3 linked regions of the Oryctolagus cuniculus genome follow. The protein of the gene in region 1 binds, or shares a complex with, the protein of each later gene. Links are inferred from orthologs where the notes say so. Each region holds a gene or a part of one and is shown on either strand. Other genes may lie near its edges. The genes, in order: KCNMA1, KCNMB4 and LRRC26.

Region 1 (3,646 bases):
CGGTGGGTCTCAAAGTGAGGTCCTTAGACCAACCCATCAGCATCACCAGGGCACTCTTAAAATGCACATCCATTTTTTTATTTTTTAAAATAGTTTCTTAAAATGCAGCATATGTATCAAGAAAGGCACTTAAGTATACAGATCAATGAGTTTTTGGTCATCTGCTCACCCTTATAACCAACATCCAAATTAGGAACACAACATTAGTAGTTCCCCCAAAGTCCTTACTACTCCTGTCCACTCCATTTCTTTTTCTCAACGTGTGAAACAAGAATATATTGTCATTTACATGCTATGACTCAGTGAAGTAACATTTATAACTATAATCCAAATGATCTGACATCTTGTCTTCTCTATATATGTTAATTACCACAAAAAAAAAGCAATTGTATTTTGTTTTGGGGCCTGGATTATTTCACTTAGTAAAATGTTCTCTAACTGCATCCATTTTGCTACAAATGTCAGGATTTCATTCTTTTTATGGCTGAGTAATAGTCCATCAGGTATACATACCACATTTTCTTTACTCACTTATCAGCTAAAATATATCTAAGGTTGCTTCCATATCTTAGCCATTGTGCATGGAGCTGCCAAAAACACAGGAGTGCAGGGAACCCTTTCAAATGCTGCTTTCATTTCCTTTGGATGTATTCCCAGGAGTAGGATAACTGGGTCATGTGGTAGATCTATCTTTAGTTTTCTGAGGAATCTCCATACTGTCTTCCTTAATGGTCGTACTCATTCATGTTCCCACCAACAGTGGATTAGGGCATTTTTTTTTTTTTTTTTTTTGCACATCCTCACCAGCATTTTTTATTTTTTGATATTTTGGATGATAGTCATTCTAACTGGGGTGAGAAGATACCTCATTGCTGTTTTTCTTGCATTTCTCTATTGATTAGTGATCCCAAGCATTTTTTCATGCATCTGTTGACCATTTGTATTTCCTCCTTTGAAAAATGCCTGTGCATGTCCTTTGCCCATTTCTTAATTGAGCTGTTTGTTTTGATGTTTGAGTTTCATGAGCCCCTTATATATTCTGGATATGTATCCATTATCGGATGCATAGTGTACAAATATTTTCTCCCATTGTGTTGCTTGCCTCTTAGCCAGAGCCATCAGGCAAGAAAAAGAAGTTAAAGGAATACAGGGAAAGGGGGAAGTCAAATTGTCCCTATTCGCAGATAACATAGTCCTTTATGTAAGGGAACCAAAAGACTCCACTGAGAGGCTCTTGAAATTCATAAGAGAAGTTGGCACAGTTGTAGGATACAAAATCAACATACAAAAATCAGTTGCATTATTATATACCAATAGTACTCTGACTGATAAAGAACGTGTAAGTTCAGTCCCATTCACAATTGCTACAAAAAATTTAAGTGACTTGCGATAAAGTTAACCAAGGATGTGAAAGATCTCTACAAGAAAAATTACAAAACACTCATGAAAGAAATAGAAGTAGACACAAAAAATGGAAAAATCTTCTATGTTCATGGATTAGAAGAATTAATATCATCATAATGTCCATACTACCCAAAGCAATTTACAAATTTAATGTGAACCCAATTAAATGGCAAGGACATTCTTCTTAGACCTAGAAAAAACAATCTTAAAATTCATACGGAAACACAAAAGACTCTGAATAGCCAGAGCAATCTTAAACAATAAAAATAAAACCAGAGGCATTGCAATACCAGATATCAAGAACTAATCTTTGACAAGCTAAATTCACTCCCTGATAAAAGGACAGTGTCTCTTCCAAAAAAGAAAAAAAAAAATCACATTGGGAAAATTGAATCTCACATGCAGAAGTCTGGAACAAAACCCTTACCTTACACTCTACACAAAAATCAACCCACAGTAGATCAAGGACCTAAACCTAAGTCCCGACACCAACAAATTAGTAGAGGAAAGCATGGGAGAAACACGGCAAGATATTGACCTAGGCAAAGACTTCTTGGCTAAGATCCCAGAAGTTTGGGAAATACAAGAAAAAATGGACAAATGGGATTACATGATGCTAAGAAGCTATTGCACGGCAAAGGACACAAGCAACAAAGTGAAGAATGCCAATGCTTAGCCCACCCAACTGAGACCCTCACTCCTCTTCAATCGTCACCTCTGAGGGCAGAGCGCAGCAATTCTTGTTTCAACAAGGTCCTCAGGAGATGCTCACTCGCCCTAAACTGTGAGAACCCACTGACAGACAGCAGTGGCCCCCAGCTCTGGCTGTACTCCGCAATTCCTGGGCATCATATAGATGTAATTCTTATTTATTTTTACACATGTGTGCATACTCGTGTGCATGATTTAAAAAACTGTTTGCATCAAAATAAACGTAGATTTTAATTCCATTTTCCATGAACCTTTTGATGTATTCTCATTTGCAATTTTTTTTTTTGCTCCAAACCAGTTAAATCAGGGTAAACATAGTATTTTTAAAAATCTCCCCAGGTGATTAAAAAATGCAAACAGAGCTGGGAAACACTCTTCTCTATGGCATTATTTCCTGGGGTATATTATGCAAACTCATTGATTTCAGTAATTCTAGGATGCACTTTTAATTTTTGCCTGCTATGAATTTACTTTAATGCATATTAGAAAAAATGTAACCAGCATGCCTAAACTGTTATTTGTCTGCTTAGGGTGATAATATACAATTTTCTTAAAAATAAATATATAAGAGTAAAAATGTGAATCAATTAAAAATATGCACAGTAAAGCATATAGGATTCTAAGAAATGGCAAAGGAACCATTTATCTTAAACACCAGCGATGTGAAATAGCTCTGTTAGGCACCCACAGAGGTTATCCAGTAGCCAGGGTTTGGGAGACTTCTGTAACTGGGCAAGCGAACTGTTTTACAGAACTTGGATTCTTGCCACAAGGCTTTTACATCCAGCTATTAGAAGTAAAGAGAAATGTCTCCCACAACCTCCCACCTCAGGGTGATTTAAGGTGGCCACAGTGATCTGCATGTTGCAAGCGCGTGCCTACGTGGTCCTTTGCCTTTATGGTCGGGGCTAGCAAGGGGCACTTAGGTGGGAGAGCAGAGTGGGCACACTCACCTCTTTGTGCACTGGCTGGGGGTGCTAAGGTGGGCATCTCTCAGCCGGTAAATTCCAAAACAAAGCATATTATAGGTTTTCAGAGCTTTGCAGAACAGGTCACCATAACAACCGCCGTCCTGGGAGACAACGAAAGAACAGAGAAACATCATTTTTACGTGCCTGCACGTGGAGCTCCAAGGGGGTGAAGAACCTATCTGTAAAAGCTGGTCTTGGTGTCTGCCGGGTTGCAGAGTCTGTGTCAAGGGACCGTGGCCAAAGAACCCAACGTGGTTAACAGCCTGCACCCAACCAGTGGGATTTTAGGGATCAGAAAATAATGCAGTTTTCCTCTGGGGTCGCACCCGTTTTCTACCAGCAGCAATGAGAGCTCCGAGGAGTCAGCCTCTCACTGTAAGGGAGGGGTAAGGGTGGAAGGTCTCTAAGGTACCCTCCATGGGGCAGGGGGCGAGACTGGCTCCTCAACACGGGGATTAGGCTTTGCCCCAGCTCAATGGTGGCCTTGGTGCTCAGCTCCTGCTGTCAAAACAGGCTGAGTGCTAATGGAAATCACTAGGAGGAGAAAAGACCCCACCAGG
Region 2 (3,230 bases), on another chromosome or scaffold:
CCATTATGTCACTCCCCCTCTTCGTGGAGGAGCAACACTAAACCCTGCCTAGGCTTCATATCCGAGTCACGGCACCATTATGTTGTTGCTCCCCGTCTTCGTGGAGGAATGACACAGGACCCTGCGCTGTTCTTTTGTCTGCTTGGCCCTTCCTGGGTTTGTTGCTGGTTCTTCCCGGGTTGGCTACCGTCCCTTCCACCTCCGTGGAAGGGCGGTTCCCCCTAGCCACTTTCCCCACTTCTGCGGGGGAGCGGCACACCGCTGGCCGGCTCTCTCGGGGGCTGCACAGGTGTTCCTTCAGATAGATGTTCCTGGTGCATGTTGTCTCTCTCCTCCTTTATAGTCCTCTTCCACCAATCCCAACTCTGCTACCCACACGCCGAGTACGCTGCTCTCCTCCAATCAGGAGCAGGTCCTACAGTTTATTGGTTGAACTGGAGGCAGCTGTGTAGAAGCTGTTACTCCCTTCTCAGTGCCATATTGTGGGAGAGCAGATGCATAGAATAAGTCTTAATTCCAGTAACTTAGTCTAGTCCGAGTTGCTCCCCACACCTATGAATCTTTACATGGATATATGCATTCATATATACACATAAATTAATGGTAGCCCAAGTCTTGAAGACAGGTGTTCAGAAAATGGGGTAATTTCTGCAAGCTGGGGTGATTTTTATCTAATTGTTACCATGACTCTGCACTCTATATAAATTTTAATTGAAATACTGTCAAATAAAGTATCAATAGACATCTCACTTTGTGTGCAGAATTTAAAAAATGCAAAGATTAGGTAATTTCAAAGCCAGTCTGCAAAACTCTTGCTGTTAATGCCACATGATAGTGCCACTGGAGGCACAACAGAAATACTCGGCATCTTTCTTCAGTCTTCTGGGAAAAGAGACTCTGAATTCTGAGAGCTATGACTAATGGACACTCCTCAGGAATGCATTTCTCTGTTAAATGCAGGTCCCGTGGACTCTGGAGTCTTTGATGTTCTTGCAGGCAACTGGACTGATTATTCTGCATTATTTTCTTCTTTTTCTGGAAGAAGTATGGCTACCCTCATGTAGCAGACCAAACCTTCCTGCAGATATCATGGAAATTTCTTGCAAAATAGAAACCTCTTATGGGAAAGCTAAGCGCCATGATCTCTTGCTAATCATCAAAGATGAGAGACCTTGGCCTATGGGGCATACCTCTTCCCTCTTCACTTCCTGTCCGTGAGGCCATGCAGAATTGAAAAATAGATACTGGTTCTATGTCAATATTTGACATTGATCAAGATCAAAATTTATTGCTGAAACTTTGCCAGATTTGTCATGAAAAGGATCAGTGGCTTAAGAAGAAACATGAAAACATGCTTTCAATCCAGCTATTGTCTGCTTGTTAATAAAAAAACTGAGTTGGCCTGAAGGCTACACCATCTGTCTTTCTGACCAATTCAAATAGTGGCTTGAGCTGACTTTTCTTTTTGAGTTCAGATCATTTGGGCCTCATGTAAGCGCTGAGGTCTAGTTTGGGTTTGTTGGCAAATGTCTACCCATCAATAACTGATAGGCTGATTCAAGTCCTTTGACCAGTGAATGCTGCAAGATGAGAAAGTAGAAAATGATAAGCTACCTTGAATGGAGGAGAATATAACAGCATGAGGTTGTTAGAATTTTGACATTTTGCAGCATGCAAATTATATTGTACATAATCTGCACATTTGCACCAATTACTTGATTCAAGAGCGAAAAGCACCAAATGTAGTATTTATAGTCAGAGTGAGATCTGTGATTTCGATGAAGAGTCTCCCTTTTGGGGCTGGAAAGCGAATCTGGCTGCAGGTTGTAAGTTTTCAGTGCTGTATCAAAGCGTGTGACCGCTCTCTCCTCCCACTGTCTTGCAGACCAGACGACGTGCTCCTGCACCGCACGCACGATGAGATCGTCCTCCTGCACTGCTTCCTCTGGCCCCTGGTGACATTTGTGGTGGGTGTTCTCATTGTGGTCTTGACCATCTGTGCCAAGAGCCTGGCCGTCAAGGCAGAAGCCATGAAGAAGCGCAAGTTCTCGTAACGGGGAGCAGGCCCGCGGGGAACAAAGCACAGAAGCTGCACTTGCTGGCACACGCCCACCTGCAGAGCCCGTGTTTCCTGGTGCAGGCGACGGAGGGGGCCGCGACAGGTCTCCGAGAGGCTCCTCCCTCCGTGGCAGCAGAAGCAGGCACAGTGGAAGCCTTGGAACCTCATCGCTTGTATTCTGTGTGTCTCGCCATGGCTGAAGGGTCAAGTTCTGAGCTGTATGGAGTAACTGTTTCAGAAAACCCAATAAGAAGTTCATTTCTTTGGAAAGTAACAGTATATTCTTTGTATAGTGTAGTATACAAACTATTATGATTTATGCTACTTAAAATATTAAAATAGAGTGGTCTGTGTTCTTTTCTATTTCCTTTTTTATGCTTAGAACCCAGGATTAAAAAAAAAAACCTTGTGGTTTATATTTGATTCTGCTAGATTAAACTTTTACTTGACAATGAGAATTCCCGCAGAACTCTTGACCTCACTGTATGACCCTCAGGTTCCATTATTAAAAAGAGTCTTTTGCTTCCTGCTTGAAAACAGGAATACTGTGTTGGTAACTTGGTCTCCAGGAAGTTCTGTGTCTCATAAGCACGGGACCCTCAAAGGCTGGGGAAATGCATCTACCAGCACCTGCCTTTGCCAATCCAGAGCTTTTCCTTAGATCACGTCTTAAGAGCTGAGAATGGGGGCGGGCATTTGGCACAACAGTCCACACCCTGTTTGAGACTCCCTCATCCCATATCAGAGTGTGTGGTGTTGAGTCCTGGCTCTACTCCTGATTCCAGCTTCTTGATAACAATGCACACCCTGGCAGGCAGCAGGTGATGGCTCCAGTACTTGGGGCCCTGCTACTCACATGGGTCACCTGACTCGTATTCCAGGCCCCTGGCTTCAGCCTGGGGTAGCCCTGGCTGTTGGTAGACATTTGGGAAGTAAACCAGTGGATGGGATCGATCGATCTCTCTCTCTGCCTTTCAAATAAATAAAATCACATAAAATTTAAAAGAGGGAGGTGGTTCTTAAGAAGGCCTGCCCCTTGGGGCCAGAGTTGTGGCGTAGTGGATTAAGCTGCCACCTCTGATGCTGGTATCCGACACGAGCACCTGTTTATGTCCTAGTTGCTCCACTTCCAATCCAGCTCCCTGCTAATGCACCTGGGAAGGCATGAGAA
Region 3 (3,737 bases), on another chromosome or scaffold:
GGTGCAAGCAGCCGTCCAGCCCTGGCCTTTGCTGGGGGTGTGGCTCGGACTCTCCGGCAGTAGCTCACGAGGGCAGCCAGGCACAAGTGCGTTCCTCGGCCCCTTTGTGCCCCAGCCCTGGGGGAGGCAGTGCCGCGTCATCAGCTGAACGCCAAGCCCCCCCCCCCCCCACGCAGCCTTGGTGCTGCCGGGCCCCTGTGTCCTCCGTGCCAGGAGCCGGGGTTCAGGCAGCAGCGTCCCGCTCCCCACCACTGCTTCTGCCTCAGAGCTGAGCAGGGGCCCCAGGCCCACCCTACCTGCCCCTTCCCAGGGCCACCTCCTGGCACTCCGGGACGAGTGACCCTGCCCCCCCACCCCCGGCCTCACAGCCCCACTGTGAGGTCAGCGCCTTCCGACGAGTTCCGTCCAGAGGTGTGCGGTGGGGCTGGGGGTTGGACATGGCCCTCTGTCCCCAGCCCGACTCCTGCCTGGCCGGCAGTCCCCTGGGCAGTCCCCTGGGCCTCCTGGGCTTGTCCCTGTGGCTCGTCCCTGCTGCAGGTGCCTGCCCCCAGCCAGGGCTCTCCCCTCCCGCAGGGTGGGCACGCTGTGTCCTTCCGGTGGCCGCCGGGGACCCAGGCCCTCCCCAGGCAGGTGACCGGGCCTCGGCCTCACGGCCCTGTCTCTGCAGCGGGAACCTACTGCGAGTGCAGCCTGGGCCTCAGCCGGGAGGCCCTCATCGCCCTGATCGTGGTGCTGGCGGGCGTCAGCGCCAGCTGCTTCTGCGCCCTCCTCATCGTGGCCATCGGCGTCTTCCGAGCCAAGGGGTGCGTGGGCCCCTGGGGCTGGGAGCCGGGGGAGTGAGGCCCTCGGTGTGCACGCGCGGGGGGCAGCGCCGGGGCTCAGGACTCACGCCCAGCCTCTCTCCTCAGTGAAACATGCCCGGGACGCGTGGACAGCAGGTGAGTGCAGGGGCGGGCCAGGGAGCCTGCAGTGTGGACAGCACCGCCCCGGGGCGCTGACCACACCCGCGTCCTGCAGGTTGGTGGGGCGCTTCGGGGTCCAGGAGGACCGCATGGACCTGCACACGGTGCACGTGGAGTCCCACCTCATGGACCCCGACATGGAGGTGTCGATGATCACCCCGCTGGAGGACCAGGGCCTCCTGACCATGGACCCCTCTCTGGAGGACCCGCCCCCACCCCCACCCCCGCCCCCTGAGTAGGGCCCTAGCTGCCGGGAGGGGATTAAATGGTATTTAGTGGTGGCGCTGTCCTTGCTGGCTTCCCCACATGTGCCGCGCCCATAGCCAGGGTCACCTTTATCTCCGCCCGGGGCAGGGTCCCCCCCCCAGGAGTCCCCAGCTCCTTCCTGTGGCTCTGTCCTGTGAAGTCTGGGGATCCTGGGGCCCTGCCCATCCCATCCCCCCTCTGCCCCCCAACACAGGACCCACAGCTGGAAACATAAAAGGACACCTGGCCCAGGACTTGGGCTGGAGTCCCTCCTGCGCGCCCACACCGTCCCCTCCAGATCCGGGATTCCTGGGGACCGCGGGGGGGGCACCGCCCCCTCCATCGCAGTGCCTGTGCCCTGAACTCAAGCCCCCACCAGCCGGCTCACTGGGTGGGAACGTCCGTTCTGGGGGGCACCGCTTGGCTCAGCCTGAGAGGGGCACTGGGTCGCATTCTCCGCGGAACTTCCGCCTGCTTGGTGGGTGCAGCGCTGCTGCTGAGGTCTACGCTGGGGGCACCGGAGGTGGACGAGCGGGGCGGGGGCCGGTCTGGTCGGCGCGGCGGCTGGCGCAGAGTCACGAGCCCGGAGCTCCGGGACAGGTGGCTGGCGGTGCTGGGTGTTGGCTGCGAGCCTGGCCCCCGCCCCAGGCGCGGGATCAGGCTTGGGACAGGAACTACGGGTGCCCCGGTCAGTTTAGTGTTGGTGCAGGCGCCGAAGGGACGGGTTCCCAGGACGCAGGGGCGCCAGGCCTCCCGCCTCGCACCCCCCCCCCCCGACTGCCCCCATGCGAAGTCCATCATTCTCCTCGTGGCCGCCGCCACTGCTGCTGCTGCTGCTGCATCCGTGGCAAGTCTGCGCGCAGGCGCCCTCCCTGGCTACCTCCTCGGGGGTCTCGGGCGCCCCGGACTGCCCCGAGGCGTGCGCGTGCGCGCCAGGCGGCCAGGCCAACTGCTCGGCACTCGCGCTGTCCGCGGTGCCGGCGGGCCTGAGCCGGCGAGTGCGCGCCCTGCTGCTGGACCACAACCGCTTGGGTTCGCTGCCGCCCGGCGCCTTCGCGGACGCGGACGCGCTGCTGCGGCTGGACCTGCGCGAGAACGAGCTGCGCTGGGTGCACGCGCGCGCCTTCTGGGGCCTGGGCGCGCTACAGCGGCTCGACCTGAGCGCCAACCGGCTGGAGGCGCTAGCGCCAGGCACCTTCGGGCCGCTGCGCGCGCTGCGCACCCTCTCGCTAGCGGGCAACCGGCTGGCGCGCCTGGAGCCTGCAGCACTAGGCGCGCTCCCGCTGCTGCGCGCGCTCAGCCTGCAGGACAACGCGCTGTCCGCGCTCTCGCCTGGCCTGCTGGCCGGCCTGCCAGCCCTCGACGCGCTGCGCCTGCGCGGTAACCCTTGGACCTGCGACTGCGCGCTGCGCCCGCTTTGCACCTGGCTGCGTCGGCACCCGCGGCCCGCATCAGGTGAGCCGTGCGGGGTGCCGGCCAGGCGGCTCGGGCAAAGCTGCGGCCGCCGCCTGACGCCGCCTGTGTCCCGCAGAAGCCGAGACGCCGGTCTGCGTGTCGCCGGGGCGCCTGGCGCGCAGCCCCCTGGCCGCCTTCCCCGACGCCGCCTTCCGACACTGCGCGCGGCCGCTCTCCCCGCGCGACCTGGCGATGATCTACTTGCTCGGTCCCGCGTCCTTCCTCGCCAGCCTGGCCGCCTGCCTGGCGCTGGGCTCCGCCCTCACCGCCTGCCGCGCGCGTCGCCGCCGCCGCCAACGCACTGCTGCCCACCGCCCGCCAAGGAGATCGTTGGACCTCGACCCCGGCGGCCCAGCCTCGCCAGCGAACGCTGGGAGCCCCGCCGAGGCCTGAGCGGGCGCCCCCCCCAGCCCCACCCCCGCTCTCCCCCCACCGCCCCTGCCCAGCGCCAACAAGCGACACAGGCCGAGATGTCGTGACATTCCTTTAGGCATCACCACTGCACACCACGTGGGGCGGGGGGCACACGGGCCGCGCGGGGAGGGCTGATGCTGTACAAGGCGGCGGGCGTGCGGGGCAGGGTTGAAGACAGTCCTGAGCCGGCGTCTGCGGAATCCGGTCCCGGCAGCCGGCCCAGAGGAGGCTCAGCCTCTCGCAGTCCGGAGGGGGAGGCCTGGGGAGGCGGCTGCCCGCGGCAGAGCCAGGACGCCCTGGGGGCAGGGCAGGCAGGGCCAGCCGGTGCGTCGGGGAGGGGAAGAAGTGGCGCGGGCAGGGGTGGCCCCGGCGGGAGAAGGTGGCGCTCAGCTGCAGCGGCCAGCCAGGGCCGTGGGCCCCCACTGGGGCTCAGGGTGGTTGGTGGCTTGGGACGGACGGGCTGCCGGCCTACGCCCCCCAGCCCCTGGCCTGGGCCCACTGCTCAGAGACCCCGGGGGCCCTGCCTCTCCTGGAGCGCCCGCGGCCCTGCCCAACCGGCTGGGCTCTGGCCGTCCTCAGCCGCTCCGGTCGGCACCTTGGTCCAGCAGGGGCTGCCCGCCAGGCAGCAGCGGGGCGGGCGGGCGGGAGGCCCAGGGTGGG

Evidence for each region.
Region 2: the proteins of KCNMA1 (region 1) and KCNMB4 are in contact, whole or in part, in a cryo-EM structure (PDB 6V22), measured with the Homo sapiens proteins. The link is inferred for Oryctolagus cuniculus from reciprocal best matches to the Homo sapiens genes KCNMA1 and KCNMB4. Residues at the interface, in NP_001154824.1 of Homo sapiens: Phe98, Phe99, Leu102, Phe103, Leu106, Leu107, Arg109, Thr110, Tyr113, Leu114, Thr116, Val117, Asp238, Leu240, Trp241, Leu244, Pro327, Trp328, Asn330, Gln332, Leu367; in NP_055320.4 of Homo sapiens: Thr11, Glu12, Ala13, Glu14, Lys16, Ser17, Leu20, Leu24, Ile34, Phe35, Cys38, Trp39, His105, Thr164, His165, Val183, Leu186, Ile187, Leu190, Thr191, Ala194, Leu197, Ala198, Lys200, Ala201, Met204.
Region 3: the proteins of KCNMA1 (region 1) and LRRC26 are in contact, whole or in part, in a cryo-EM structure (PDB 7YNZ), measured with the Homo sapiens proteins. The link is inferred for Oryctolagus cuniculus from reciprocal best matches to the Homo sapiens genes KCNMA1 and LRRC26. Residues at the interface, in NP_001154824.1 of Homo sapiens: Pro78, Cys79, Asp80, Ser81, Arg82, Gln84, Trp88, Ala92, Ser93, Val96, Thr97, Glu155, Trp158, Met159, Ser161, Val162, Trp165, Cys206, Leu226, Leu227, Phe229, Gly230, Leu231, Phe233, Ile234, Asp251, Phe252, Pro256, Phe259, Val260; in NP_001013675.1 of Homo sapiens: Gly204, Cys205, Gly206, Cys207, Ala208, Arg236, Leu237, Ala249, Phe250, His252, Cys253, Ala254, Gln255, Leu257, Arg260, Asp261, Leu262, Val264, Val265, Tyr266, Leu268, Gly269, Pro270, Ser272, Phe273, Ser276, Leu277, Cys280, Leu281, Leu283.

The regions. Positions count from the first base shown.
Region 1 is NC_091446.1:67,887,889-67,891,534, forward strand, and holds part of KCNMA1 (calcium-activated potassium channel subunit alpha-1), read right to left. Parts: intron 3,188-3,646; coding exon 3,069-3,187; intron 1-3,068. UniProt on the Homo sapiens protein: Potassium channel activated by both membrane depolarization or increase in cytosolic Ca(2+) that mediates export of K(+). It is also activated by the concentration of cytosolic Mg(2+).
Region 2 is NC_091442.1:72,991,731-72,994,960, forward strand, and holds the end of KCNMB4 (calcium-activated potassium channel subunit beta-4), read left to right. Parts: intron 1-1,885; coding exon 1,886-2,054; 3' UTR 2,055-2,596; downstream 2,597-3,230. UniProt on the Homo sapiens protein: Regulatory subunit of the calcium activated potassium KCNMA1 (maxiK) channel. Modulates the calcium sensitivity and gating kinetics of KCNMA1, thereby contributing to KCNMA1 channel diversity.
Region 3 is NC_091432.1:237,465,721-237,469,457, reverse strand, and holds LRRC26 (leucine-rich repeat-containing protein 26), read left to right. Parts: upstream 1-1,374; 5' UTR 1,375-1,993; coding exon 1,994-2,663; intron 2,664-2,739; coding exon 2,740-3,056; 3' UTR 3,057-3,132; downstream 3,133-3,737. Other genes in the region: TMEM210 (transmembrane protein 210), read left to right, coding at 438-537, 668-803, 909-938, 1,018-1,201. UniProt on the Homo sapiens protein: Auxiliary protein of the large-conductance, voltage and calcium-activated potassium channel (BK alpha). Required for the conversion of BK alpha channels from a high-voltage to a low-voltage activated channel type in non-excitable cells.